Linked DNA regions of Lonchura striata. The protein of the gene in region 1 binds, or shares a complex with, the protein of each later gene. Links are inferred from orthologs where the notes say so. Each region holds a gene or a part of one and is shown in the gene's direction. Other genes may lie near its edges.

What was found.
Region 2: the proteins of MTOR (region 1) and RHEB are in contact, whole or in part, in a cryo-EM structure (PDB 6BCU), measured with the Homo sapiens proteins. The link is inferred for Lonchura striata from reciprocal best matches to the Homo sapiens genes MTOR and RHEB. Residues at the interface, in NP_001373429.1 of Homo sapiens: Arg62, His69, Glu73, Ala101, Thr102, Ile104, Gly105, Arg106, Asn109, Tyr110, Arg112, Asn113, Phe140, Glu143, Tyr144, Phe147, Glu154, Arg160, Thr969, Gln973, Phe977, Lys980, Glu1010, Phe1011, Gln1014, Met1018, Ser1050, Thr1051, Asn1264, Lys1293; in NP_005605.1 of Homo sapiens: Lys5, Ser6, Arg7, Lys8, Arg15, Pro37, Ile39, Glu40, Thr42, Gln57, Ala62, Asp65, Tyr67, Ile69, Gln72, Thr73, Ser75, Ile76, Asp77, Asn79, Asp105, Met106, Val107, Gly108, Lys109, Val110, Ile112.
Region 3: MTOR (region 1) and MAPKAP1 share a complex: the UniProt entries of both Homo sapiens proteins name them as parts of the mechanistic target of rapamycin complex. The link is inferred for Lonchura striata from reciprocal best matches to the Homo sapiens genes MTOR and MAPKAP1.
Region 4: the proteins of MTOR (region 1) and RPTOR are in contact, whole or in part, in a cryo-EM structure (PDB 6BCU), measured with the Homo sapiens proteins. The link is inferred for Lonchura striata from reciprocal best matches to the Homo sapiens genes MTOR and RPTOR. Residues at the interface, in NP_001373429.1 of Homo sapiens: His597, Thr600, Pro632, Val644, Ser645, Gln646, Thr647, Ala648, Val649, Ala653, His686, Ala688, Gln689, Glu691, Met721, Asn722, Pro723, Ala724, Phe725, Met727, Pro728, Phe729, Arg731, Lys732, Leu734, Ile735, Leu738, Thr739, His743, Tyr771; in NP_065812.1 of Homo sapiens: Phe278, Lys282, Cys283, Ser285, Leu286, Pro288, Gln380, Ala381, Asp383, Leu384, Asp387, Glu411, Gln412, Thr414, Ala415, Val418, Trp419, Thr421, Met422, Arg427, Asn428, Glu431, Gln432, Lys973, Ile974, Asp979, Leu980, Glu981, Ser982, Lys986.

What each region holds. Positions count from the first base shown.
Region 1 is NC_134626.1:5,764,684-5,771,810, forward strand, and holds the start of MTOR (serine/threonine-protein kinase mTOR), read left to right. Parts: upstream 1-4,127; 5' UTR 4,128-4,211; intron 4,212-5,242; 5' UTR 5,243-5,286; coding exon 5,287-5,406; intron 5,407-5,790; coding exon 5,791-5,899; intron 5,900-7,127. Other genes in the region: UBIAD1 (ubiA prenyltransferase domain-containing protein 1), read right to left, coding at 1-458, 2,319-2,841. UniProt on the Homo sapiens protein: Serine/threonine protein kinase which is a central regulator of cellular metabolism, growth and survival in response to hormones, growth factors, nutrients, energy and stress signals.
Region 2 is NC_134603.1:150,905,962-150,913,138, forward strand, and holds the start of RHEB (GTP-binding protein Rheb), read left to right. Parts: upstream 1-4,170; 5' UTR 4,171-4,275; coding exon 4,276-4,327; intron 4,328-7,177. UniProt on the Homo sapiens protein: Small GTPase that acts as an allosteric activator of the canonical mTORC1 complex, an evolutionarily conserved central nutrient sensor that stimulates anabolic reactions and macromolecule biosynthesis to promote cellular biomass generation and growth.
Region 3 is NC_134624.1:10,804,459-10,811,341, reverse strand, and holds the start of MAPKAP1 (target of rapamycin complex 2 subunit MAPKAP1), read left to right. Parts: upstream 1-3,883; 5' UTR 3,884-3,965; intron 3,966-4,120; exon of another isoform or gene 4,121-4,185; intron 4,186-6,883. UniProt on the Homo sapiens protein: Component of the mechanistic target of rapamycin complex 2 (mTORC2), which transduces signals from growth factors to pathways involved in proliferation, cytoskeletal organization, lipogenesis and anabolic output.
Region 4 is NC_134621.1:11,400,808-11,408,209, reverse strand, and holds the start of RPTOR (regulatory-associated protein of mTOR), read left to right. Parts: upstream 1-4,386; 5' UTR 4,387-4,635; coding exon 4,636-4,797; intron 4,798-7,402. UniProt on the Homo sapiens protein: Component of the mechanistic target of rapamycin complex 1 (mTORC1), an evolutionarily conserved central nutrient sensor that stimulates anabolic reactions and macromolecule biosynthesis to promote cellular biomass generation and growth.

The sequences.
Region 1 (7,127 bases):
CAAGGTAATGCCAAAGACATAGAAAAGGCCCAGCAGTAGGTTGAGTTTGGCTGTCCGCTGAGGAATTTTGCAGAAGTTCTGACTCCGGAATTGTCTTTCCAGCGAAAATGCCATGGGGATGGTGAGCAGTGGCAGTGCCATGCTGATGGTATAACGTGTGGCCAGCACACAGAAAATCAGGTAGGGCAAGAAGAGCAGCACAGTGTAGAGGATATAGGAGAAGGTGGGGCCAATGAGGATGGCCAAGGTGACAATGCCCGCCTGCCGGTCCGACTCCATGTCCCGTGTGTTGTTGCTGTGCAGGATGGCCTCAGTGCTGAGGGCCAGAGGGACAGCGTAGAGCAGGGGTGACAGAGACAGGTAACCAACCTGCACTGCGTGGGCAAACATCACAGCCAGGGGCCCAAAGGTGATCAGGATCACCACGTCGCCAAGCGCAACGTATTTAAATCCAATTCCTGTGGCAAGACACAAGGATAAAGTCAAGCATCATTAAATAATTCAAATGACAGAAGAGCATGGATGACATAACAGTTCCCATAGGAATATTCCTATTCCTGAAACGTAAATTTTAAGGAATTTAGGGATTTTAAAGGAGCTAAGATTTTAGTTAGAGATAAGCCTTACTAGAATTAATTAAAATAAATGAGTAGGCCGTGATGAAGTTAAGAGTTAGGAGTTAACTAATAATTGATTGCTTGTCAGCACAATGTTTAGTTATCTGGGTTTATAATGAAGAATACACAAACTGACAAATAGCTTTTAGGAACATAAGACAATTGTGGCCTCCTCTGTTCTGAAACCAATTGAAGACAAGGAATGGGAGTTCTACCAAGAGTTCATTTGTGATATTGGCATTGAAAAGGTAGAAAGGTCAGAACGAGGAAGACTTCATTTACTTCCTCATTTTGGGACCCCTCCCCATGAAAGGGACACCGACCCATTTCAAGGAACAAACCATGCATGCTGAATGGCTTTTGAAGTGATTAGCATACAAAGCAGGGAATGGGATGTACCAAAATGATGAATATGGATTTGTATTTTGGATATTCAATATTTGTATGGATAAAAAGACTCTGTAATCACCTGGAAGCTGCGGTGTGGATTTGGGAGTGATCCTACACACAATAAACACACATTTTTCAACTTTAAACTGTTAGAGAGTTTTTGTCCATCACAGTTGGATATTGGTACTAGATCAATATCCATATTTTTAAATAAATCATTCCCATATTTCTATATATCCAGCCTTGATGCTGTTGAGGCAGGATAGGAATGAATAGACTTTGTTCAGAAGGCTGCGAGTATAACTCTGATTTATTTATCACTCTTTATATTGGTCCTGAAGTAAAAACATCTCACCTATTGATGTGCAGTGAAAGACATGCAGTACCAAAACCTAACTATAAACAATGTGAACAACAAGAAGATAAAGAACCTTATTTACATTCTTCTCAACAGTTTCTCAGGCTTCTGTCTGGTTAGAAACTTTCCATTTCTCTCTGAGAATACCCACACAGCCTTTCTCATAGGAACATTACAAAACAACCAAAGCACATGCAGCTATGGACAAGAAACACATTATCTCCTTCTTTTTTAAGGTAAGAATTTCTCCAGACAAAAAATGTAAGGGCCAGGTTTTAATGCCCATCTAGAAAGACCTGTCTTTTCAGAAACCTACAGAAATAAGGTATTTTTTTTTCAGTGTGATCATGTATACGAAAACCTGATCCTAAAGAAATATAGAAAATGCTCAGAACAAAATGCAAAAAATGACAAGACAGTTTCAGGGAAACCCGCATAACTGAAATTCTGACAGTTAGAAACTCAGCTGTTTTTTCTTCCCCTACTAATGATGTTTGTATCTGTCTATCCAATACAGGAAGACACTAAAATATCCTTGTCTTATTAAGGAGAATCACACACTGTACAGCATTCATAGTGAAGCTCCATCTAAAGAATAACAACGAAACATTCCAAAACAAAGTAACATTCCCAGCAAAGAAAATATGCCATTAGCAACACTGCTAAAGGATATGAGATAAACTTCACAAAAAGATTCAGCAACAGTTCTGGGAAGCATCTAAAGCCATATTTGTAAACAGTAATGCCTCAACACCACTATCTAAGTGAAGATGTTAGTATGACTCTTCCCACAATATTCAATTGCAAAGAATATAACTTTATGTACCAGTACTTCAGGAAACACCACAAATATTTTATTGCAGTGCACTGTGTCTTCTAGAAGCCTCTTGACAATTCCGCTGATTCTATCACTTCTACAAGCAGATTCACAACTAACGGGATGCAGCACTTACCTCCGGTATAAAGGAAGGAGCTGGAAAGTCCTCCAAAGTAAATCAGGGCCAGGTGCTCCAGCTTGAGCGTCGAGACAGCGTAGAGACCAGCAGCGCAGATACAGCCCACGGTGTAGAGAAAAACTCCAAACCGCACCACATCCTGCGGCTCCAAAATCTGGTCCACCAACGTCCTGTCATCACTCTTCTTATGATCGATGCCTTTGGAAAAGTCATAATAGGTGTTCACCAAGTTGCCGGCCCCGTGCACAGCCAGGACGGTCACGGCGCTCCCTAGCAGCAGCCCCGGGTCCAGCGCTCCCTCGGCGCGGTAGGCCAGCGCGCTGCCCAGCGCCACGGGGGTCAGCGAGGCGCTGAAGCTCCAGGGCCGGAGCGCCAGCACGTAGGCCGCACACTTGTGCCTCCAGCTGCCGGGGGCGGCTCCCTCAACGCCCGCCAACGCCGCACCGCCGCTCTCGCTGCCGCTGCCGCGGGGGCTCTCGGCGCTGATACTGATCTTCTGCACCAGCTCCGCCGGTCCCATGCTCGCCCCGCCGCCTCGCAGCGGCAGCACCTAGAGGGGGAAGGGCCGCTCGTTAGCGGGGCCCGGGCGGAGCGAGGGGCGCCGCCGCCGTCACGGCCGGCGGGAGATGCGCGGGCGCCGCCATTACGTGGCCGCCGGCCTGCGCGGCCTCGCCACCCCCGCGGCCCCGCGCCAAGAGTTCCGCACCTGCCGGCACCTCCCGCTGTCAAATTAAAACGAAAATTTAGCGGCCCGCGGTGTCACGCGAGGCAGCGAGGGGGTCACCCCGCAGCACGCGCCGGCACTACGATTCGTGTCATAGCCGCCACGACACGAAGCCTGGCGCGGACACAGCCGCCCTTGCGCTGTCACGGGCAGCCGGACACATTTCGGCGGAGCACGGCGCGGCAGTGCCCTCCCCGCTCCCGTCACGCATGCGCAAAGCGCACTCGGGGCTCAGCTTGCGCCGGGATGGAGCTTAAAGCTCCTCTGGTTTCATCCCGCCACGGGCAGGACACCTTCCACTGGCCCAGGCCCCATCCAACACTTCCATGGATGGGGCAGCCACAGCTTCTCTGTGCCACGACCTCCCCAAACATTTTCCTAACATCTAAACTGAATTTCCTCTCTTTTAGTCTGAACCTGTTCGCCCTTGTTCCTGGTTAAGAGTCCCTCCTTGTATGCCCCTCCTGGTACTGAAAGGCTGCTCCGAGATCTGCACACAGCCTTCTCTTCTTCCACAAGAGCACCGCACAGCTCGGTGTCACTTGCTGAGGGTGCCTCAATCCCATTGTCCATGTCGCCGACAAAGTTGGTGAATACTATCAGCCCCAGCACCACCCCTGAGGGACGCCACTCGTCCCTGGTCTCGATGTGGACAATGAACCGCTGACCGCAACTCTTTACGAGCGTCTATCCAGCTAGTTCTTTATCCAACGAGTGGTCTATCCATCAAATCCACGTCTCTCCAGTTCAGAGACCGGGATGTCATGCGGAACGGTGCCAAAGGCTTCACACAAGCTCGAGCAGGCGATGATAGTTACCTACCCATGCTGCAGCCCGGCCATAGCCGGCACCTCACGGAAGGGCGGAAGCCGGCGTCGGGAAGGCGGGCCTACTGGGTAAACCCAGCCATTCTATTGGTCAGCTTTACTGCCACTCAGTCTCTACTGCCTTGATGATTGGTCGAAAGGCGGCTGTCCTTGCGGTTCTTTGGGTCAGGGGCGGAGATTTGAGCGCGTTTTCCCCGTTTCTCTTTTCCTATTGGTCAGACGAGATGCCGATCAAGGCATTCCTGGGCGCCTATTGGCCAGCGGCGGCTCGCCGGCGCTGCGGGCGCGGCGGCGGGGCAGGCACGGGCCTGGGGCCCGGAGTAGGGGAGGCGGCGGCGGGTGAGTGAGTGAGAGCGGCGGTGCCTGTCATCATCATCGGCTCCCCTTCCCCTCAGCTCCCGCTTCCCGCCCGCCCCGACCTGCCCGAGCCCCCGGCCGCGCGGCGCTGCCGCCCTGCGGCCCCGCCGGCCGTGCTCGCCTCGCCCCGCCTCACCCTCCCTCACGCTCGGCCTGCGGCGCTCCCCCAGCCCCGGCTCGGGCCCGCCGCGTTCTGTGGCCCTGAGGGAGTGCCAGGCACCGGCTCCGGGCTGGGTTGATGTCAGTATCCACCCCCCGCGCTGCTCTTTGATGCGGAGCCTCTCCTGGGCTCCTGCCAGCAGCCGCCTCACCTGTGGTCCCGCTGGATGTCTGCGAGCGCGTGTGGAATATTTGGGGAGTTCTGGTGTTAGTGCTTGGCTTGGTTTTATGTAATCTGAATATGGGGGGGCGTCAAGCGTCTGAAATGTTTTTGACATAAAGAAAGGCTCCCGAGAAAGTTTGTTTATGTGTCATGCTAGGAAACCCCCTGTTGCAATGATTGGTGTTGCTATAACTGGACCTCCCATCTCTAAATATCTGTTGGAGAATGTAACACTTGCCAGTGCTGAGTCTTCCTTGTGTTGGTGTAACACTGAGATTTCTGTGAAGAAACTTGGATGAAAGTGTTCAGGGAGGAGTCAGATATGATCGTGATATAATCCTTGGAATGGTTGTGCTTACTTATTATTGGTAATTGCAAACCCTGGTTTTACCCTGCTGTTTTTCAACTGTTGCATTACTCTTGATTTAAGATTAGATCACCCTAGAGGACCTGGCCTACTGTAATGTATTTTGGTATTTGAGGAACTAGAGAGCAAATAGGCTGGGTGTCATGATACGTGGTGATACAGTTTTATCATGGAGTGTAATGCCTAAGGAATATAGTCATTACTTGTAATTTTATGGTCTACACAGCATCTTTATGGGTATTTTGGGAACAGTCAGGAGGGAAGGCCTTACGAGAGAAGCTTGGAGATTTCAATTCAAGCAGTAAAAAATGTGTCTCTCTGAAGAATTTACAGGACTTGATGCCCCTGAGCCCCAGCACACTACCACCATGTCGGGCACTGTGTCCATTCTCCAGCAATTTGCCAATGGCTTGAAGAGTCGCAGCGAGGAGACGAGGGCGAAAGCTGCCAAGGACCTGCAGCATTATGTCACCATGGAGCTGCGTGAGGTGAGTGCTACAAATGGGATTATTTATCTTTGTGCATCATCTGAGTGTAGATTATTGGGCTGGGTGCCTTGGGAATGGAGGTTTTTGGAATATGGAAGCTGGTCTCAGGGAAGAAATGGGGCACAGTGGAGAGCTTGTCTTTGCTCCCTGGCATGTAGGAGAGGTGAGCAAGTTGGTGACACAAACGGGTAGTCAAATACCAGAATAAATAAATTTGCTGCATATAGGTCACAAATAAGAGAAACTTTTTTTGAGCTTGTAATGTATGGTTGATTTAATGTCTTTCTGTTTAAGTGGCATATGAAGCACTGTCTTTTTGGAGGTTTTGGAGCAGGAGGGACGAAGAGAATGCTGAAAGCTGATTTGAACTTTTTGCTTTTACAGATGAGTCAGGAAGAATCTACCAGGTTTTACGATCAGCTGAACCATCACATATTTGAGCTGGTCTCTAGCTCTGATGCAAATGAAAGGAAGGGTGGCATTCTGGCTATAGGTAAGTGAAAGTGCATAATGCCTCTGCTGAGTTTTCTTTTCATGCAACTATCTTTAGGGACACATTTCAAAAGGAATGAGCTTTTATGGTCGGGGTCTGATGTCTGACAGCTCAAGATACTGGATGTGTTCTAGTTGCTGGCTCTGAAAATCTGCCTGAAGTGTCAGCATGGGAGCTACTGAGAGTGGCTGAAAACCTGGTACTTAATGGACTCTCAGCTCTTCTGGGAGTTGAGCATCAAATGTGAATGCTGAGCTCATGAAAATTCTGTTCTGGAGCTCAGCTGAGAACACTTTGTACTGCCCCTTTATATGTTTCAGGCTAGGCTGACTTTCTCAACTCTCTTCCATCTGGAAAGATTGATTCTTGTTATTTAAATTTACCTGGCTCTATAACAGTAACTTGCATCCCCAAGAGGGGCTCACATAGCTTCTGCTGTGATTGTGATCAGCCTCTCCATTAGTGGCTCTGGCTGTGTGCTCTCTGTGAGATTGCAGAGCTGCCTGAATCCCCACTCTATGGGAAGTCAGCTTGCATAAATACTTTGCCTTCCAGGCAAAGAGCCTGTATTGTAGCTGTTACTCCTTAAATAGCCAAAGAGATGTTTATGGTTTAGGCTCACAGACATAATCATCCAATCCCAATGTGTTTGAAGGCAGTGTAAATCCCTTAGAGAAATCTTTATTGATAACATCAGGTCTTAAGCTTACAGTATCACATTCAAATTGCTTTGTGAATTTAATGATGTTGAAAGCTGCCAGCTTGACAACCCTGATAGCCTCTTTATCTATAAAACAAGTGCAACCCAGGCACTGGCAACAAAAGCTTCTGCCATGCTGGTGTCTGAGGAATTGCCTCCACCCTGACCAGGAGAGACTGTCTCTAGGGCTGAGGAGGAGAGCATTTCCTTGGTCTCTTCAGTCTTTGACCTCTCTTGTGAGGTGGACTAGCTATAGTAGTTGCATGCAGATGTATGTCTTTCTATTAGGAACAGGTCTATGATCACAGGGTGAATTACTTTTTTTTCTCTTCTAAAACTAAAAATGGGGAAAATCTATGAGGCTACCAGATGCATTTTTCCACTCACTTGAAAACTTCAGGCTCAAAAGAATGGTGGCCTTTTCCTGTGCTTGATTTTTTTTTTTTTTCACCCTGTGGATTTTTAGTTTAGAGGGACTTAATAGGAATCTTTAAGGAATGTGTAGGGAATACTAGCTGTCATCCAGGG
Region 2 (7,177 bases), on another chromosome or scaffold:
ATAGAATCACTGTGGAAAGGCAGGAGGGAGCAGAAACAAGTGCAAGGCTGAAGTGAATGTACTTTGTAACCTCTGCAGGCAGCAAGGGCTGTGCTGTGCCTGTGGAAGCATGCCCAGGGCAAACACTGGACACACTTCAAACCACTCCTTGGGAAGGTCCTGCTTTGCTGAAGGACAGAGCAGGTAATTGTGCTGATAATTGCTGCTGCAGGAATTGAAGGTACAAGTCAGAGCTGTTCTGCACTTGGGAGCTGAGTAGCTGGATGGCTGTGGGTTTGCATGTACTGGGTTAGTGTAAAAATACTTGGCTGTTGAGTTACCTTTACTACATTAAATCTATTGTGGTTCTTTCTCCATCAGAAAAAGTAGATACAGGCAACAAAAGAAAGCCATGAACTGTCCAGCCTCAGCATCCTCATCTCCCCACTGACACTCACTCCAGCCCTTTTTGCTGTTTCCCCCCTTGGTATCTTGTCTTTCAGAACCACATCTGATGTGTTTCTTTCTTTGAGTAAACAGTTTATAGTAACATTAATGTCATTTATCATCTGACCTGATCCCAAGGCTGTGTTTGATGAGGGAGTACCTGGCAGAGGGAGACAGGGAGAAGGGCTGGAGCACGGCCAGTGCAGAGGCACACAGGGTATGTCACTTGTCCCACAGTTCTCTGAACTGCTTTGGAGCTCAATTTGCAAACACTGCAGACATGAGGAGGCTGCAGCAGGAGCAGGGAATGTACAGGCACAACCCTAATTCCTAATGCAGCCAATGCTATGGAATGCTGCCCTGGGAAAACACAACCTGAGCATCACACCTGGATTGCTACAGGGGGAGAGGATTTCAGCAAAGGGGTACTTGGTGTGTGAGCCTGTTCAGCCCTAAATGTATCAACAATAAGAGTTCAGATAATGCACAATGCCTGGATTAGACATTCAGAGCCAAAGGTGTGCTGTCCCTCTGCTCAAAGCACTCCAGAAGTGTTTAGACTTCACCTGGGCAGGAGAAATGTAGTAACAGCCTTACCACAGTCCAGATCCTCTCACCTCTGCTTAAGCTGGTGCCTCTTGAGTAGCAATGTCCCAGAGTGCTGCCAAAGGCCATCAGCAGTGTCACCCAGCCCTACAGCATGGAAAAACAACCAACTCCCCTGAAAGCTCTGTATTTCCCTGTATTCCCAGCGTCCCAGCCAAGACAAAATGAAGCACTTACATGATCCTGCTGGAGGAAGGATTATTAGCCAATTCCCTCCAAAGGAACAGTGGAAGAAAAGGCAGTTAAAGATTTTTCTTCAAAATAAACCCATGCCCAGAATGGATGAGTTCTGTGTTGCTGCTGACAAGCATCCTAAGGTGAGACAACTCAATTGCAATTTAAGGCAATAAAGCCAATAAAGGGGGAGGAACAGAAACCCTGCATTAGTGAACTACCCTAAACAAGCACAGAATGAGCCAGGGGCAAGTTAACAGAAACCAGACAAATAAATAGACACAGCTTCAAAAGGAGAGTGGGATAAGAAAAAGAGAGTTAGGGAAAAGACCTAATCAAAGAAAGAGGAAGGAACAAAAACAGAAACTCCCACAAATGAAAAAAAATGCTGATTCTCACCACTCTGACCATGTGGAGGGGTATGGGTATATGTCCTGAAAATACAAGTTAGGTTTCACCAGAGTAAAAATCCAAGTGCCAAAATATGACAGGCAAGTAATAAGAACTGTAAGGAGATGGAAATTGAAAGCATAACTACCACAAATGTCAGCTGTTTTTCCAAATCCATGTATGGCACTGGAAGGTAATTCTTATCTCAGTCCTCTCAGTCTTCTGGCTCAGTAAAAAGTCCAAATTCTGGACCGTGGCATGGTTCCAGAGGGAGTGAATGTAAAGATGATGGCACAGCTCCAAGGGTTGGTCCTGCAGGATCATGGCTACTGCAGTCCTCATGTGCATCAAACAATTGTGTCTGTTACAAGACACGAGACACGAGACAAAAGAATCTGGTGCTGTACATCGGGGAGGGCTGTCCCTCTGCACCTCCTGGGGAGCTTTGAACAGGATCCCTGTTCACAAATGCTGGATTTCCACAGGCTGCTGCCTTTTTGCAGGCTCCCTATATCCCACCAATCCCAATATGGGATGATGCTTGAGGGCTGTGATGAGGTGGGAATCTGCTGTAGTGAGTGGAAAAGACAAGGCTGGTCACAGGGAATGAGCATGCAGCGTTGTATCACCACAGCCATCACTGAGAAAGTACAAACCCCCTGTATTTCCTCATGAAATAACTATCCTTCCATCATGTACCTATTCACTGGAAGCTGTTATTCCTGCTGTTTAACAGGTCACCAGCACTTGTCCTGTAAAACCCCATAATCCAGAAGACAAGGGGTATAATTAGACTATCCCAAAAAATGCAGGTATCTCCTGAAAGACTGTCTGCTCCTCCAGAAGCGAATCACTTTTGTGTACAAATGGCTTTCTTTTGCTTTAGTTCCCTGCCCTCTCATCAGCTTAGATGAGTACGTGGGAGTGGATGGGTGAGATCAGGGAGAAGCCAATCCATGTCCCTTAACATCATCCAGCTGCTAGTTTGGCTTGTTGTACTCTGGCATAATTGCATGTTAGGTATCAATGTTTCCCAAAAAGATAAGATGCACATTAAAATAAGTAATTCTAACTAACATTCATTTTTCAAGAAAATGTGTAAAGGGTTTGTATTAACCCAAAGTGTTCCAAATGAGTAGTAGAGGGGAGAAATATGACTTTCCTGTCTTAGTGTCTTTTCTCCCTTAAATTCTGCATCCATCAAGTGTTGCAGTCTCCACTAGTACGTGCAGCCCTCTTTTCACAGCGGAAAACTCCCCACCGCTTGGATCCCACAGTTAGCCATTCCCAAGCTCCCAAACGCCGCCTTCCCTTCCATGCAATTCCCAACACTTTATCCGCGCTGGGACCCGACGTTTCTCCATAAATCATCTGAAGAGGCACCGAGATAAATTCAAACAAATTTAAACAAGCCCGGCCGAGCGGCCCTTCCCGGCACGGGATCCTGGAGCTGCGGGGACACGGGAGGGGCAGCGCCAGATCCCACGGCCAGATCCCACTGCCCAGGGAGCAGCCCCTGGGATGGGGAGAGGAACGGGGATGGGGAAGGAGACGGGGACTGGGATGGGGAGAGGAACGGGGAGAGAAACGGGGATGGGGAAGGAGACGGGGACTGGGATGGGGAGAGGAACGGGGATGGCCACGGGGATGGGGAAGGAGACGGGGACTGGGATGGGGAGAGGAACGGGGAGAGAAACGGGGATGGGGAAGGAGACGGGGACTGGGATGGGATTGGGCAGGGGCGGGGGACGGGACTGGGATGGTGATAGGGACGGGAATAGGGACTAGGACAGTGATAGGAACAGGGATGGGGATAGGAACAGGGATGTGCACGGGGATAAGGACCGAGATGGGGATGAGGAAGGGGACAGGGATGGAGGCAGGGACGGGATTGGGCCAGGGACGGGACTAAGACGGGGATAGGGATAGGGACCAGGACAGGGATAAGGGAAGGGGACGGGGACAGGGATGGGTGACGGAGATCGGGGACGGGACAGGGACGGGGATACGGACAAGAACAGGGATAAAGGACGGGGACAGGGAGCGGGATGACCAAGGTGACGGAGCTCGGGGACGGGACAGGGATGGGGATAGGGACCGGGACAGGGATGGGATGAACTAGGTGATGGAGATCGGGGGCGGGACAGGGACGGGGACAGGGATACGGGACAGGGAGGGCGATGACGCGGCTGAGGGGGCTCGCGGCCGGGGCCGGGCGGCGCGCGCGGGACGCACCAACCGCCGCACGCTGCGCGCGCACGCGCGCGGGGCCCCGGCGCGCGCCTCTCCGCCCCCACCCCCGCCGTCCCCGCTCGCCCTTGCCCGCCCGGCCCCGCCCCCTCCCCTTCGAACGCGGCCGTTGCCGCTCCCCGGCCAATCCCCGCCCGCCGCCGCCGCCGCCCCGGCCAATCGGCGGGCGGCACGGCGGGGGTGACGCAGGGAGTTTTTTCCCGTGACGCGCAGGTGCGTACGCGGGGCCGGCGCGCGGCGGCGGCGGTCACGTGGTGCGGCCCCGCCGCTGCCAGCGCCGCGCGTCCCGAGCGCGCTCCGGCCGCCGCCGCTCCCCCCGCGCCCCCCGCATGTCGCTGGCGCCGCGCCCCGCGCCCCCACAGCCGCCCGCCGCCGCCCTCCGCCGCAGCCGCCGCCCTTGATGTGGTTCGGGGCCGGGCGGGGGAGAAGATGCCGCCGTCCAAGTCCCGCAAGATCGCGATCCTGGGCTACCGGAGCGTGGGTGAGCGCGGCGCGGGTTTCGCGGCGGGGGTGCGGGCGAGTGCCGCCGCGTCGCCCTCCCCGGCGGCGGCGGCGGCGGCGGCGGCAGGTGCAGCGGAGGCAGCGGCGCTTCCCGCCGCCCCGAGCGCGCAGCCGCGGCCCGAGGGAGGGAGCGAGGGAGGCCCCGCCATGGCGGCGCCGCAGAGCTGCGGGCCCGCGGCCGCCGTGCCCTTAATAGGAAGTTTCGCCCCCCGCACTGCCCGAGCGCAGCCCGGCGAAGCGGGATCGGGCGAGCTGCGGAGAAGGCTCCTTCCCCGCCCGCCCGGCGCTCCGTACGGAGCGAGCCCGGAGAAGGGCAGCGGAGCTGGGGAAGGGGCTGGAGCGCGTGTCCGGTGAGGAGCAGCCCGGAGGAAAGGAGGCTCAGAGAGGCCTCGTCGCTCTCCACAAGTCCCTGACAGGAGGGTGCAGCCAGGTGCGAGTGGGCTCTGCTCCACGGCAGCCAGCGATAGGACGTGAGGACACGGTCTTCAGCTGTGCCGGGGGAGCTTTGGGTTGGACACCAGGGAGAATCGATTCTCAGAAAGTGATCGGACACTGGAATGGGCAGCCCAGGGAGGTGGTGGAGCCACCGTCCCTGGAGCTGTTTAAGCAGACTGGACATGGCACTCAGTGCCGTGGTTGACACGGTGATGTTGGGTCTCGGAGCACTTTCCGAGCCTCGGTGGTTCTGTGCTTTAGAAGCAATTTGAAGTGCTGGGGAGGCCAGGCGGGTCCGTTGCCCGTTCTGCCCCGGGGAGGTGTCGGTGCGGCAGCGCAGCCGCTGTTCCGAGGGGCCGCCGCGCCTCCGGCTGTCCCCAGCACGGCGCTGCTGGGACAATCCAGCTCGGGCTCATCCGCTGGGACGAGCTTCCTGGAAGCGTCCAGCACGAGTCTGCAGCAGCTGATAGAGGGTTTTGTTCATAGCAAACGGTGTGATCCTGCATTCGCTGTCTTTGATGGAGAACGGTTTCAGATGTTTCAGCTTTCGGGTTCTTGAAGCGGGAGGGAAACAAGCTGTAGTACAGCCGGTGCTAATCGATCAAACTTAAAAGCATAGATCAATGTGGAAGATAATGTGTGGTTGGAGGGGAAAAGGAAGATGTTACAGAGAGATACTACTCTGATATAGATGAGGTTTTTGCACTGAAAGCTATATCAGTAATTTGTCTTACATGGCACACAGCATAAAGAACCCTTTAAAAAAGCTTTTTTTAATATAAAAATAGGCCTAAATAAGGAGAGCTTTTTCTTGCATTTTGTGCATAGCTGCAGCCAGGTTGGTGTTAAAGGGATTGATGAATTTGTCCAGTCCATAAACAGAACAGTGAGTAGTAGATTGATCAGTTTGCATAGTCCGTATGACATCACTTGTTGCAGTGTGTTCATTGTCTTGTGTGTTATGTTTTCCTTCTTTGAGCACTGGTGGGAGCAAAGCAATGGGCAGTGTAAGTGGGAAGGGGGAATGCTTGAAATTCTGTCCTTTGGAAGTCTGTGGTGGGGACTGGCTGTACTGTTGAGCTTTGGTCCTTCATCTGTTGATGCTGACAAGCAGCAGTCAGGAAATCAGATATTAGTAGAGTGTAGGACCAGCTGAGGAGAAACAGAGAAGTAGTATAATGTTAGTTTGGTTGGTGATGTGAGCAGTAGTACTCGTGGAAAGGATGACCAAAATGTTACCTAACTGATAAGACCTACTGCTGAACTTCTTTAACTAAATTTTCTGGGACTAGTGTGGAATTGGGCTTGATAGGACAAGAGCAATTTTATTAGGAGAACTACAGGTTGTAGGAACATAGAGTTAAGAGTAAGTGAAAAATCTGGTTTACTGGAATTTTCCTTTCATTGTCATTAAATTTCTCAGCTAATACTTAGGTAGAAGTTCAAGCAGTAGAAATGGGCCTTTGGGGTCCTACTTCCATCTTGTAAAGCTGTTAGAAAAGCAGGAAGGTTAACCTGTAAGATATAAACTGTCCTCTGCTTCCCCAAATATCCTCCTAAAGTGTAGTAGGATGGGGACTGAGACTTCAGGGAAACTTGTCATTAAGTCTTGCTTTGTATTATGATGATGAGGATATCACTTGAACCCTGGGTAAGAAAGGATATTATCTCATTTTAGGACAAGTATTTGGGTGGTAGAAAAGGAAGTACGTTTCTTTTGGAGGAAATGCTGCATTGTATAGAGGTAATGCTCATTAAAGTGGGGAAAAAAATCCAGAATCTGAAGGATTGGAAGGAAATGCTTTCTACATTTCCTTTTGTAATTAGAGAACGACATTGTTTTGCTATTAACATTAATCTTGACCCTGGAATTACGGAGGTTAACTTTGGTGAGTTGTAAAATGTTTATATTTTCATAGGTTGACCCTAAATGCTTAGGTGACCTGCTCTGGGAAGTTGGATGCTCCTGTTGTAACTACAGGGTTTGGGATGAAGGTGTCATAAAATGAGGAGCTCTTTTTCCCATGTCTCTCTGTTAGGTGCTGAAATAACCAGGTTTTGATGATATATGTCAAGCAGTGAGCTTTTCCCTACAGCTGTTGATTAAACAATGCCGTGGGTCTCTCTGGTTACAAGTGTGTGCAGTGAAGGGTGGGCACACCCTCCCTGGGGATTTGTGAAACAGGGTCTGAGAATTGTACTGGATTCGTGCTAAGGCCTTGTTTATTTTACTTACTTTAAATTTTAATCTTATCCCAGTGTTGTTGTCAGGTAAACTAGATGTTGGGAGTGGTATTCTGGTATAATGGTGCTCAGAATAGAAAATTCAGGAGTCTTCTTGTTTGAATACACTCCCTCTATCTTTCAACACCACCATCGAGCCTTTCATATGTGA
Region 3 (6,883 bases), on another chromosome or scaffold:
TATTGTGATTGAATAGAGCCGGGGTTTGGTTCGGGCTTTATTCACACACACACACCCTCTCCTGCAGCAGTATCTGGTCAGATTTATAATTCATCTGCTGCCGCTTTGAGACAAGAAAAGAAAGAAAGAGGCAAAGTTGTACTTTGAGGGATGGCCGGACGGACAGACGGATGGACGGCGGCGCAAAGGCCGGTATCCACCGGGCAGCGTCCAGCGGGAACGGGCAGGGACCAGCCACAGCCTCCCGCGCACCACACCGACGGCAGAGCCATCGCATACTTCTACATTTATCATAGCTTTTTTTTTTTAAGGAAAGAAATCATTAAATAGCAACTTGGCTCTGCCTTGGCTGCTGGCAATTTCTCTTACGGCCCCAAGAAGTTGCTCTTAATTGTGAGACTCCGGGTCTCTGCAGAGGAACAGGAAGGAGAGAAACAAAAACCACACACACACACCAAAAATAATTAAAAAAATAATAATATTAATAATAATTTTTTTAAAAGACAAGGTTTAATTAGACGAAACCAACTTTGCTTGTGCCTCATCCAGGCTTTGGTCAGTGATGGTCATGATCTGATGGAGGATGTCGCCGATGTCCTGCTTCCTGCCGTCGCCGTCAGCCCCTTCGTGTCCGTGGGGAGGCGGCAGGGCCATGCCCCCCTGCACCGAGTGCCCGGCCAGGTTCACGCCGGCCAGAGTCTGCAGCATCCTGGACTGATCGTCCATGGCTCCGGGCCGGGCCGCGCTCCGGGCGGTCACGGCAGCGCCTGCCCCGCTCAGTCCCAGTGCCGCGCTCCTGACCGCGCTCTGCACACACACCACGAAAAAAGGGAAACAGGAAAAAAAAGCCAAACAAAACAGTAACAAAAAAAATGTAGTATTTGTGTTTTGACCGGATCTCAGCTGTTTATTCCACTCTCTTCTCCTTCCCAGGGCAGTAAATCACTCTCTTCTTTAGTTACAATCTTCTTTCATCATCATCATATTGGTGCCTCGGATAAATGAGCTGAGCAGATTTCTGTGAGATTTTCCTGGTACAATCTTCCTCCAAAGCTTTTTTTTTTCCTTTTTTATTTTTATTGTTGCTTTTTATGTCTTTCCCCACTTGTCCAAAAATCTTCTTTGCAAAAAGGCAAAATTAAAAAAAAAAAATTAAGTACAAAATCAAAAAAACTCGCTTTCAAATCCTTCAGAAGTTGGGAGGGTGCAAACAGCAAAAACCACAACAAACCAGCGAACACCCCCACCCCCAAATTGCAACATAAAAAAAGCCAAGAAAACACAATCACAGAGGGAAAAAAAAAAAATTAATCGCCCTCCCCCCCAAATAACAAACGATCCCAAGTCTGTGCACGGGGGTGAGACAGCAGCAATCAAAAGTTTGAACTTGTGCAAAGAAAAGAGCGGAAATAACGGGGAAAGAACTGTAAAAAAATTAATTACACACTCTCTGCAAAGCAATGTGCAAAAATATCGGCCCGCCGGAATTTATGAGCCCCGCGCCCGGTGCCCGCGCGTGTTTTATGTTGTTTGATGGCCGCTCCGGTGAGGGATTGACAGGCTGCCAACGCCACTCACTCACCGCAGACGTGTCACCCTGTGAAGGAGCCGAGCGGCGCGCGAGAGGGAGCGGAGCGCCGGCCCCGCCCCGCCCGCCGGCCCCGCCCCGCCGGCCCGCCCCGGCCCGCCCCGCCGGCCCGCCCGCCCCGCTCCGCGCGCGCGGCCCTCCCGCCGGGCCCGGCGGCGCCCGCGCTCCGGGGCGGGCGGGAGGGGCCGGCCGAGCGCCAGAGCGACGGGCACGGCGGCCAATCGCCGCGCGAGGCCGCGGGGGCTGGCTGCGGCCTTGGCCAATCAGCGCCCGCACGGTGGTGCCGCGCCCGCCCGCCCCAGCTCGGGCCCCGCCCCGGGATGAGGAACTTGTGATTGGGCCGTTCGAACGGCGGCGTGGGCGGGGCGAGCGGCCCGGGCCCCGCCCCCGTTGCCGTGGTGACGGCGGGCCGGTCCCGCCGGGCCGGGCCCGGGGCCTCCCGAGCGCCCGGGCCCGGCCGGGCCTGCCCGACGGAGCCCCGGGGCCTCCCGAGCGCCCGGGCCCGGCCGGGCCTGCCCGGCACCGGCAGCGGCGGCCGTGCGATGGAGCCCTGCGCAGGATGAAGGGTCCCGGGCCGGTCTGTCGCGGCCCGTGCCCTGAGCGTGTCCCCGCGGAGAGCTGCGGGACAGGACAGGAGCCCTCGGCACAGCCCTCGGCTCAGGGCCTGCGTTACCGCGTGCAATTGCAAATTATCTTTTTGTAAATGTGCACAGAACCGCGGAAGCGGGAGGAGGAAAAGGCACAGGCAGCAAGGGTAATTACGACTTCATTCCCTTAGGATGTTACATGTAGATCGTTGCCACCTCCTCAGACTGTCCTCACGTGGGACACTGCCCCGTTCGCTCCTGCTTCCCTCAGGTTGGGCCATTTTGTCACACTTCGGGTAGAGCCACGGTTAAAACCATCCTTAGTTTGCTTTTTGTGCTCTGTCTGTGGCAGACAGTCTCAGTGGAGCCATGCCCGCACCCAGCCCTCATCCCCTGACCTTCCTGGTGGTCTGGCTGATGCCTCAGGCTGGCATCAGAGCAGAGCTGCCAGCTCGCCCCAGTCCCAGCTGGCAGCGCCATCCCTCACCTTCACTTGGGCCTGGATGTCACCGGAGCCCTTTACCTGGCTGGGGCCTCGGATGGCTGGTGCAGATGGAGGTGGCTCCTGGTCAACAAATCTGTGCGCTCACCGTCCCCCCATACAATTAGTAAATTCATTCACATTTCAATTACTTTACATCTTAACTACTCCATCATTGTCTGTCTTGAGCCAACGAGTTTTCAGGGTCATCCAATTTTACTAAGAACACTACCCCAAAGGCATTTTAAATCGGTATTTTTGTGAATATTTCACAGATGCACTTGCCCCCTGAGGGTGAAGTGCCACGGATGGAATGGGCAGATCCCCTAGCCCCTGACCCTGCCAAACGGGACAGGGCTCCCTGGCCCCTGCAGGGACCTGCTCAGTCTCACTGCATCAGCGGAAAGCTGCTCTTCTGGGTGATTTTGGTACTGTTTCAGGAGGCTGAGTCCAGTCACCCCAGAGCTCTGGGCTCTGCCAGCTGCAGCCAGGCACTCCTGTGACATGCCCTGTGCTGGGGCAGCTCCAGCTCCTGCCCTTACTGTGCTGTTGCCAGTCACTGGTACCTGCTCCTCCCGGGCCTTGGTGGCACTTGTGCCATGCTGTGCACTGTCCCTCTCAAAGGCAGCTGGTTTGCGTTTGTGCAGCTGCTGAGGCTGCCACGTTAGGCTTTCCTCAGGGATGAACAAGTCTCCTTGCTTGCACAGGAAACTGCGGAGGCTGCACCAGCAGGTCTGGAGAGGTGACAGGGACACAGAGCCAGCAGGCCAGGAACAGGCTCCCTGGGAACAGCTGGGAGCACCGGCAGCTCGGCTGTGCGCCCTGCTCAGCCCCGGAGCAGCGGGTAACCGGGGACACTGCTGACGGCCCGGGCGGCGCTCGGTGCCGGTCCGGGCACACTGACCCGTGTGGGGTTCATCCCCTTCGTGTCTGTACTTGCGTGCTTGGCCTCAAATCACCAAATAAACACAAACGTCACCGTGCTTTTAGCAACACACTGGCAATAAAGCCAGTGCGACCCCCGTGAGAAAAGCGTCCTGTGTGCTGCCGTGCGGCACCGGGGAGCGCCGCTCGGCCGCGGTGTCCCGGTACCGGCGCGGGGCATCCCGGGCAGGGCGGCTGCGCCCGCCGAGCCCGCGGCCCGCTGCCGTGCCCGCGTGCGGCCCGCGCCGCCGGTACCGCCGGTGCCACCGCCCCGCCCGTTCCGCGCCGTCATTTCCGCGGCCGCGGCGCTTCCGGGTCCCGCGGGCGCCCGTTCCGCCGGACCCGGACCCGGAAGCGGCTGCGCGGCCCCGCGGCGGCGGCGCCGGTAAGTGCGGGGCGGGGGCGGTGGTGCCGCGGCTGCCCGCGCTGCCAGTCCCTCGCCGGGCCCCGCGGGATGCCGTGACCGGCGGCAGCGGCTGCCAGCCCGCCCGGGACGCGGCTCGGGCACCGGGGCTCCCGGGGCGCGCGGGCGGGGCCGCTCCCGCGGCTCTCCCGGCGGCGGGGCAGACGGAGCGGGTCCGGCCGCGATGGGCGGCGGGGCACAGGTGAGTGCGGCGGGAGCGGCGGGCACCGGCACGGTCCGGCGGGCCCCCCGGGATGCCCTGGGCGTGCCCGCACTCCGCGGCAGCGGGAGGCACCCGGCTGCCCTGGGGACTCCGGCCGGTACCGTCTCTCCATCCCAGTCCCGTGCCCTGGGGGCTCCGGCCGGTACCGTCGCTCCATCCCAGTCCCGTGTCCCGGCTGCTCCTGCCGGCCGCGGCGAGGGCTCTGCCTGCCCAGTGCTCCAGGTGCGCTCTGAGCAGCATCGCACCCGAGTGCCGTTCCGCACCGGGCTCCCGGTGCTGCTCCCGCTTGCCGGTGCCATGGGAACTGTGAACACCACACGGGAGCGGGAAGGTGTCCGGGGGATGCAGCAACGAGTCCGTTTCTGTGCTAGTGGAAGTCTGGTAATTGACTAACCAGAGATGCCAGAGCCAAGCTTGGATATCCTGTGTGTGTTTAGCCGATTTTAGGTGTCAGGGAATTATCAGGTACATGCAAGACTGGGAATTAGACTCTCTCAGTTACTTTTCCAAATTCAGAACAGCTCCATTCACGGACACTTTTTTGGGTTAGATTAAAAATAAATTGGGATCAGCATGTACGTACATATAGACTTGTACAGAAATAACTGAAGCAGGGAGAACCAGTTTAGCCAATTTCTGTATCAGTAATGTTTCACATCTTTGTTGTAACACCCTTTCCTCATCTGTTGGTTACATTTTCACCCATTGCAACATGTAACAAATTTAGAATAACAAATAACAGATGTTAAAATAACAAGTAACAGCTACATTCTTGTTGTGCGTTTCCTTTGGATCGGAGAAGGCCTCTGCAGGTGGAGCAGCCTGGCACAGGGATCTGTGTTATGCGTTCTGTAGCACGAAATTTTCCCGGCCATTCGAAGTTGTGAGCGTGAAAAGCACACACCTGTATGGAAAGGTCAGTTATGGCAACCAATGGCACAGCACATGGGCAGCGTGCTGGCCACATCCCCAGGTAGGAGCAGCCCATCTCCCACGTGGTCAGTCTTTTTGGAGATCACACAGTCACTGAGGCTGGAAGAAACCTGTGAGATCATCGAGCCCAGCCTCTGACTCACACCCCTTGTCAGCCAGGCCGGAGCACTGACACGTCCAGTCTCTCCTTGAACTGCTCAGGGCTGCTGATTCCACCACGTCCCAGGGAGCCCCTTCCAACCCTGACAGCCCGTGGGGTGAAGAAATTCCTTCTGATGTCCAAGGGCAAATGGCACTGGCTGAGAAGTGGGGGTGGAGCTCAGGTGTCCACATTTGCTCCCATTCAGGTGCTGGAAGGGGCAGTCTGGAGCTGAGGAGCAGAGCCCGGGGCTGTCAGTGCTGGTCCCACTGCTGGGACTCCCCGCAGGGAGGGGCTGCCTCAGGGGTGGCAGCAGCTCTCCAGGGCGTTTGTTAGTGCCTCTGACACGAACTCCAAGTTGTGTTTAATATTAACTCTGTGTGTGTGTGAGCTGAGGAGCTCCATCAGACTGTGATGCCTTGTTGTTCACTGTCTGTCAGCTCAGTTTTATATCCCAGACTGCAAAAGGGCAATCCCTACCTTGTTTGCTTATTGCCTGAGAAGTGTTGTATCTAAATCCATTATCCTGAGAGCAAAACAAAGCTCCTTGAATATGTTTTGTGTGCTCTTGAAAGAGACAGACCCAAATTTAAAAGCCAGAGAAACGGGGGATTCATCTTTTGCTGAAGAAATGTGAATCTATTCAGTTTCATTTGACATAAAGTCCCAAAGGGACTGAAGGTCTCAGGCATTTTTAAGGAGGTCTGATCATGAGTATTTCTTAAGTCAGAAGCAGCTTGCATGCTGCTATATTTAAAAAATAAGATATGATCATGTTTTTAATGCAATAAAAATATTTATGTACACTCAAAAGTAGAATGGCAACAACCTAAAGAAACTGTCTGACAGAGACCCAAGTGTTTGTTTTGACAGGTGCTGCTGTTTAAGGCACAGCCCCCTGCCTGGCAGTGTCAGAGCAGCCTCCCTGGTGCTGCTGCAGAGCAGTGCAGTGGCTGTGCTGCGAGCCCCTGGGCTGGCTGGGCCTGCCTCGTGTCCCCAGGCTCTGTCCTGGCTCCAGACAAGGCAGATTCTATGAGCCTGGGGGCCTTTTGGGTGTAAAACCCAAAGAGAGTAGCATCTCTCTCAATAGCAAACAGGCAAAAAGGTAAAATGGTGAAGCTTTCTGGTTCGGCATTTTTTATTTTTTTAAGATTGAAGCTTGTATTGATGTTTATGAAATTTATTAAGTTTTTTAGGTCCCTGAATATCACACTGAGAATTGTGAAAATAGAAGCTCTAGTCTGATATTCAAGCACTCCTAGCCTGTGCTTTCATTCTCCACTCTACAACAAGATATTTTGTTTATCACAGAACCCAAGAGTGGTTTGAGTTGGAAGTGAGTTCAAAGCCCACCCAGTGCCACCCTGCCCTGGCAGGGACACCTTCCACTGTCCCAGGTGCTCCCAGCCCCAATGTCCAGCCTGTCCTTGGGCACTGCCAGGGATCCAGGGGCAGCCCCAGCTGCTCTGGGCACCCTGTGCCAGGGCTGCCCACCATCCCAGGGAACAATTCCCAGTTCCCAATATCCCATCCAGCCCTGCCCTCTGGCAGTGGGAGCCATTCCCTGGGTCCTGTCCCTCCATCCCTTGTACACAGTGTGTCTCC
Region 4 (7,402 bases), on another chromosome or scaffold:
GAGACAGAGGGAGATAATGATAACGGATGAGCGGCTCGGAGATGGATGCCGGGGCTGGAGAACTCTATTAACAGCTCCTCCAAGCCCTCCGATCTATCGCATCCCCGACTATCGAGTGCAGCCTCGCTCAGGCTTTATGAGAAAAACAGCTCCATTAAGCAGCCGATTGTTGTCAGTGTGCGCAGGGGTCGCTTGAGTCTCCCCTGCGCCGCCGGGAACACAGAAATCTTTACATTTGCCGTGAACTGAAGTCGCCTTTGGGGTCAAACGCGGCGGCTGCTTCACGGTCTAAATGACTTCCAACTTGTGTACTACCTGGAATCCGAGGATGTCAAATGCACTCATTAACGAAACTCTACAGCCTCTGATTCATCCGGAAACTCGCCCTTTTATAGCTCAGGGGAGGCAAAGCCAACAGATAAAACTCTCAGATAAATCTTCTGCTTCCAAAATCTGCATCACCTTTCCTTTTTCCCTCTCTTTTCTTCCTTGGTGAAAAATTTCCCCTGATGCCAAAGTGTTTCTTCCATTAAAAGAGCAAGGAGAGATTTTTGACCTAGTATTTATTCTGGCCTTTTCAGCGTGAGACGAGAACATGAATCCCTGCATATTCCCAACGGGTGCTGCTGACTGAGATGCCACTTTACACCCTTTTTATGTCTCCCATATTTTTGAGGCAGTTTGACTGTGCTCAGAAGAGCACATCCCTTCACATCGGGGGCTGGGGCACTGCAGAACAACGGGTGTGGGAAGAGGCTCAGGGGGCACCTCCTCACTCTCTAAAACTCCCTGGCAGGAGGGGGCAGCTGGGGGGGTTCAGGCTCTGCTCCCAGGGAACAACAGGACAGGAAATAGCTTCAGGCTGTCCCAGGAGAGCTTCAGGTTGGATATTGGGGAAAATTTCTTGCTCCAAAAGGATTGTCCAGCCCTGGCACAGCTGCCCAGGGCAGTGGCGGAGTCTCCATCCCTGGGGGGATTTAAAGGCCTTGCAGATGTGGCACCTGGGGACATGGCCAGTGGTTGGGCTTGATCGTCTCTGAGGACTTTTCCAACCCAGAAGATTCTGTGGTTCCTGTCTGGGCAGGGAAAGCCTCAGCTTTCCATCCCTGCCCCGGTGCCTGTGCTCGGAAAGGCGGAGCTGCAGCAGGAGCTGCTGCAGGAGCAGCTGCGGGGAGGAGACACAGCACCAGACCCCCCCGGCAAGGGATTCGGGGTTCTGGGGAGCACCGGTGCCTGTGTGAGGATTGCTCGCCTGCAGCGAGGGGGCAGCGCCGGGAGCGGCCGCGGCTGCTCGGTCTGGCCGGGGAGGTCACCGGGAGGCTTCCCGAGCCGGGAGTCAGTGTGTGAATCATGTTTTGATGCGTATCGGCTTTGGCCCAGAGCCCGCCCGCCCCCTTCTCACCTGCCTCCCCGGGCTCCCAGCCCCGACTCACATCTGCTGGGAAGCAGGGAAGGAAATCTGTGTGCCGCGCATGCATAAATAACACCGCTGAAACCCGGCTTGCTTAAAAATAGATATTCTTCCCGATAAATATTTTACCTACTGTCTTTAGGCTGTAAAGCTGCCCCGACTGAAATGTTAAAACGAACCTCGTTTGTTTGCCCCTAAATGCCCCAAACAGGCAGTGCTGGGCTGAGGGGTTGCCCTGGGGAAGGAACGTGGCCACCTGCACTCCAACACCTGCGCTTAGAGCCTCAGGGAAGGTGGCCTGCTGGCCTGTGGGCATTGAGAACAGAGCTTTGCATCCAACTGACTCACTTGGTGACCTGTGGGTTTGAGTAATGGAATCAAAATATAAGATCTCTCATGATATTTATGAGCAACATTCTTCTTTCCATATCTGTATTTCTTCCTGCCCAAAAGTGGAATTAGAATTAGATGGCTGAATAAGGCAAAACAAAGGACATCGACAGAGCCTGAGATAGGAGGATTTTTCATTAAAAAGAGTGACAGGTGGGAGAATGTGTCCAAATGTGTCTCTGGAAGATAATCCTGCATTTTGGGTTTAAGGGCATCACTCACGGTGCCTTACCTGACATGATACTTCCACTCCTCGGATTCCCTGGGAGCAAGGGGGTAATTTAATCTGTTATTCTGTCCAGAACCTGGGGCTGAAGGCTTGCTTGTGCATGGAAAGGGCGCTCCTGAGGGCAGCACTGGCACCACCTCTGCCCTGGCACGGAGCTTTGGCAGCAGGGAAGGCTGGCCAGCAGTGCCGGGAGTGAACAGGAGAGGGTGGAACCCGCAGTGGGAGCCGTGCAGTGGAGAGGCCAAGCTGAGATCCCGTGGGAGCGCTGTGCGTGCCCAGCAGCCAGGCTGGTGGCTCCCAGCCCACAGCCAAGGCAGCACCGCTGAGCCCTCCGTCCCCATTGCTGTCCCCGTGCCCATCCCCGTGCCCTGGAGCCCGGCCAGCAGAGCCCAGCTCACCCCAGAGAAGCAGGGCAGTGTCCCAGGCAGCCCAGAGGGGACGGGCAGCCCGAGGGAAGGGCATGGGGCACGCGGCTCTGCCAGCTGTGCCCGCTGCCAGCTGTGCCCGCTGCCAGCTGTGCCCTCGGCGGGGATTTCTGCGGCACGCTCAGCCAGGCCGGGCCCTCGCTGCCCAGAGGGATTAGGGGGATCCATCTGTGCAGCCCCAGGGACTGGGATTCCTTCAGGTGCGCTGTTGGGGTTGTTTCTCTGAGCCCTCCATGGCAGCATGTCACCCTGTTCTTTTGAAGGTTTTAAAGTTCTTTTAAAAGTTTTCTATGCCTTCTGATGTTTATATATTTCTACTGGAGTTTCTCACACATTTTTCATGTAAATAATGATTGTTTTGAATTCTTTTTTGTGGGAGGAGAGAGTTGATGGACTTGGTTTGACCAGTGTGGTTGGAGAGGTGGCAATTTCTTCCTCAAATCCACTGTCACTTTTGGAATTCTGTATATTGCGAGGTCAGAAATCAAACTTGCTTTCTTTTGCTCTTTTGATCTTAGCGTGCATGTGTGAGTTATTTTGTGTTGTAGTGCAACAGCAGCAGGTTGGAAATAAAGATCTTTAAGCTGCCGTCCCACCCAAAGCGTGCCAGAATTCTGCAATTCTCTGGTTTTGTGTGGCTGCTGTTGAGGAATTCATTAAAGGCTAGCAGAAACGAGGCCATAAGCATTTTCTGCAGCCAGGCAGTTCGTTCTGATAACAATCATGCAGCTATCATCAGCCATCAGCACAAAGCACCATGAGGCAATGAATCAGCTCCTCAGGAAAGGGAAGGAGAAAAAGCAGAAGTTGGCCACCCCAAGAAACATCATTTGCCAATCTCCCAATCTCTTGTAAAGAAAGGTCATTGCATTGGAAATATTCCATGAGTGTAAACACACTGAAAGTATATGAAAATTAATGGTTCTGTAAATCAAATTACACACGTATATTCTTTAATTTCTACTTTGAAATAATGTTTACACATTTGAGTATTACAAATGTGAATGTGGCAGGGCTCGACTACCACCAGGAGCAAACACTGAGGAACTTCCTTAGCAGCAATATTTGCTATCCATTAACCTTCAGCTGAATGGCAAGGAGGATCTATGCCTGAAATGCTTCACCTGCCTTTCCTGGTGTGTGCAGTGACCATGCACCAGACACATCTGCAGGGGGCTGTGCCCGGTTTCAGCACTCTCCTGCTCTTTTGCCCCAGAGTAAACGAGCACACAGAACAAAGCGAAGTGAAGCCCAAGATCAGGCATGGCTGCGCTGGCACCTGTGCCTGGCTGTGTTGGAGCACCAGGACACGCCAGGGTGAGGCCGGCACTGCTCCCAGCCAGCAGCTCGGCATCGGGGATTGGTTTTCAGCTGGGTTTGAGCTGAGTCTCCTCGGGGAGAACAGGGACAGCAGTGCCACACAGGGACACCAGGAGCGATGGAGAGGGCGCTCAGGCCTCGGCAGGGGCTGCCCAGGGCGGTTTGGAGCGCCCATCCCTGCAGGCGTCCAGGGCATCCCTGCATGTGGCACCCAGCGCTCCGGGCTGGGGACAAGGTGGGCACGGGGCACAGCTGGGACTCCATGGGCCGGGAGAGCTTTTCCAGCCTCGGGGTTTGGGATCCCGGGATTCCCGCGCCGGCCGCGCCGTCCCCGTGGCAACGGCCGTCCCCGCGGCGGCGCGGCGTGTCCCGCGCGGCGGCCCGTACCGCGGGGCATTGTGGGCCGGCCAAGATGGCCGCCCCCGTGCCGCGGTGCTGAGCCCAGCCGCGCTCGCCGGCGCCCCGGGACGCGCGTCCCGTCCGCCGCCGCCCGCCCCCGCAGCGCAGCTCGCCGAGCCGCCCTCGGCCCGACGGTGTGCGAGGGAGCCGCGATGGGCCGGGCGCGGTGCCCGCCGCAGGGAGCGCGGGGCCCGCGGGGGTAGAGGTGCGAGGGAGGCCCCGGGCCCGGTCCCCGCCGGTCCCTCGGTGCTCCCCGGGCCGCGCCCCCGAGCCCGGCCGGGGCCGCTGCCTGCGCCAGGTGAAGGCGCTGCGTGCCCCTGGTCCGTCCGTACCCGCGCACCGGGGAGCGCTGCCCCCGCTGCCCTTGCCCCGGCCTCCCCCTCCGGCCGGAGGGACCCCCGGCCCCGCTGGGTGCCGGGCTGGACATCGCTGCCCACGTGCTGCCCGGCGCCTCCCCGCCCATGGAGTCTGAGATGCTGCAGTCGCCTCTCCTGGGGCTCGGGGAGGAGGATGAGTCCGACCTGACGGACTGGAACTTGCCCCTGGCCTTTATGAAGAAAAGGCACTGCGAGAAGATCGAAGGCTCCAAGTCTTTGGCTCAGAGCTGGAGGATGAAGGACCGGGTAATGCTCCAGGGCACCGTGGGGTTTGGAGCAGGAGCAGTCGGGGGACATGTGGAAAAGGAGTCGGAGCTCAGAGGGGGCTGAGCTGTTGTCAGGTGAAACGCTGCCTGTGGATGCCACAGTTTGTGTCCCAGTGCTGCGGGACTGGGGCAGCAAACCTGCAGCTGGCCCAGAGGCACTGCTGTGATGTTTACAGCCCTGGGCATTTGGAGCAGCTCCACCACTTTGGCGCTTTAAATGCAGCTTGGTGTGTTCTGGGCAAGGCAGTGAAGCACCCGAGGTCAGGAGGAGCAGCAGGTGCAGGAATTGCAGCTGCACAGGAGCTGGGTGGGTTTGCTGTGCCAGCAGGGTGCTGTGTGCAGTGTCCAGTGAGGGTGTCCTGTGCACAAACAGCTTGTGGGATTTTGGAGGCAGGACACAGTTTTCAGACAGAACTCTGGCTGTGTTACAGCAGGAGCTCCTGGGGTGTCTGGGGACATGTTGTGTGTTCCTGAGAGCACTGGGAGTGACAGAGACACGTCCCAGCTGGGAGTCTGGGATCCTCTGCTGCCTCTGTGGGATGTCTCAGTAAAGAGCAAACAAAGCACCTAAGAAATGTCCTGGACCATCATCTGCCCTCATTCTGTTCTTGGAGCCTTGCTGGCTTTCCCAGCTCTCAAACCCATAACTTTGTGTTTCTAGGTATTTATGGGTTTTTCTGGTGACCAGTTTTCCAGTACGTTTATGATCCTCTTGTAACAGGATGGAATAACTTACTGAAACTGCAGGCTGTGAGCTCTTTGCCCAGGCTATCCCTGAGTCTCAGTGTTCCCAGAGTGGTGGTTGCATTTCTCAGAAGTTCTGAACCGTGGACTGCAGGTGGGACTTGGCAGCTCATTGCTGGGTTGAACTGAGCACTTTGGGTGTGATTTAAAGGCAGCACAAGGCAGCACAAGGCACCACGTTGGGTGCTGTGCTCCAAAGCGTTCTGGCACACAGGAGACTTTCTCCAGTAGACTGTGGAGGTGTGATGAGCTTGCTGGTCTATTTTAGGTGCCTCTGCCTTCCTGAGATGTTTCCTGTTCCTTCATCCCTGATCTGCAGAGTTGCCTCTTTCTAATTCAGGAATGACTTTGCCCTGGTTGTGCTGATCATAGGTTGTGCAGCAGCAGCAGCAGCAGCACAAGTTCAGGGGGTGCTCAGGGGTTCTCTTTGGCTGCTGTGAAATGTTTCATGTGCTTGCCACCATCAGTGGCAATCCCAACCCAGCTCCTGCTGCCCGAGTCCATGGAGCTGCATTTCCCTCCTGTGGGACTTTCCGTGCCAGAAACGTCGTGGTTGTTGCTGCTGCTGCTCGGTGGGGCTGGGCCCTGGGTCACTCTGCAAGATGCTGAATCTGACTCTTGTGAAAGAAGAAAATAGAAGCAAAGCTCGACTTTTCAGTTTAGTCCTATTTTTGCTGTCAGCTGGAGCCAAATGACTTCACACCAGGGCCAGTGGTGTGGCTCGGGTGTCGTTTGTATCTGGGCAGTTGGATCAGGGATCCTTTGGACAAACTTGCTGTTGTGTATAATTACGTTTTTGTTGAAGAGCAGGTACATAGGAAGATACCAAAAGCATGTAAAGACACCTGAGAGAGGAAGAGCAGCTGATTTGAGAATGCTCAACCTCATTACTTTTAAATCTCAGCAGCTGTTTGTCATGTCTTGTGTTTTATTCCCCTTTTCAGCTATCACTAGCTGTCTCCCCAGTGCTTAATGAGAGGTAACAACCACAGAACCTCAGCTGGGGAGGGAAGGGGATGGGGCTTGGATTGCTGCAGGGGTGATGTCCGGTAAATATTTCCACCCAGTGAGCTTGAGTTTGGCTAATCCTGCAAAATAGTTCATAAAATCTAATCTGGTTTGACCTCGTGTCCATGATCAGAAGGTGGAGGGAGGGCAGCTCACTCATGCTGCTGTTTTCCCATGGTCCAGCTGGGTGTGACAGGTTTGTCCAGGGAATGGAGCACCTGGAGAAAACCCCAGGAGCTTGGTGTTTGTGGGGTTTTCCTGTGAGGCAGTGGTGGTGTGAGGGCAGCCTGTGCTATCAGGGTGAAAACTGATGGGTTGTTGATTTTCCCCCTTTTTGTTCCTGAACTGCTTTGTTTTGTTCTCTGGCACCATAAATTAATTACTTCTAGTTTCAGCTGTCTTCAGGAAGTTTCTTCTCTTCCTCTTTCCTTGCTTTCCAGCTCTGTCTCCAGGGTGCTGCTGCAGCTCTGTCAGTGCCCACAGCCCCTGGTGTCCCTCTGCCCCTCCAGCTCAGCCCCTTCCTTCCCTGCAGGCCCAGGGGGAGCCTCTGTCCCCATCCCCAATTCTCTGCAGCTCCTGTTGTCTCTTGGCTCCCTTTCCCACAAGCCAGGGCTGATGGACCCGAGGTGTGCTGTTCTCTCTGGGCTGCTGCTGCTGCTGCAGGAGGTTCCCTGAGGGCTGGAGGGGATGTGCCTCTGGCTGTGAGCTGAGTGTGGAAACCTTGCAGTGCCTTCAGTCTGAAAAACGAACTCCTCCCAGCCCGGGCTGGGCCATGCCTGTTCATTAAACACCCCAGCCTGTCTCTGAACGAAGAGGTGCTCAAAGGTGAGCCC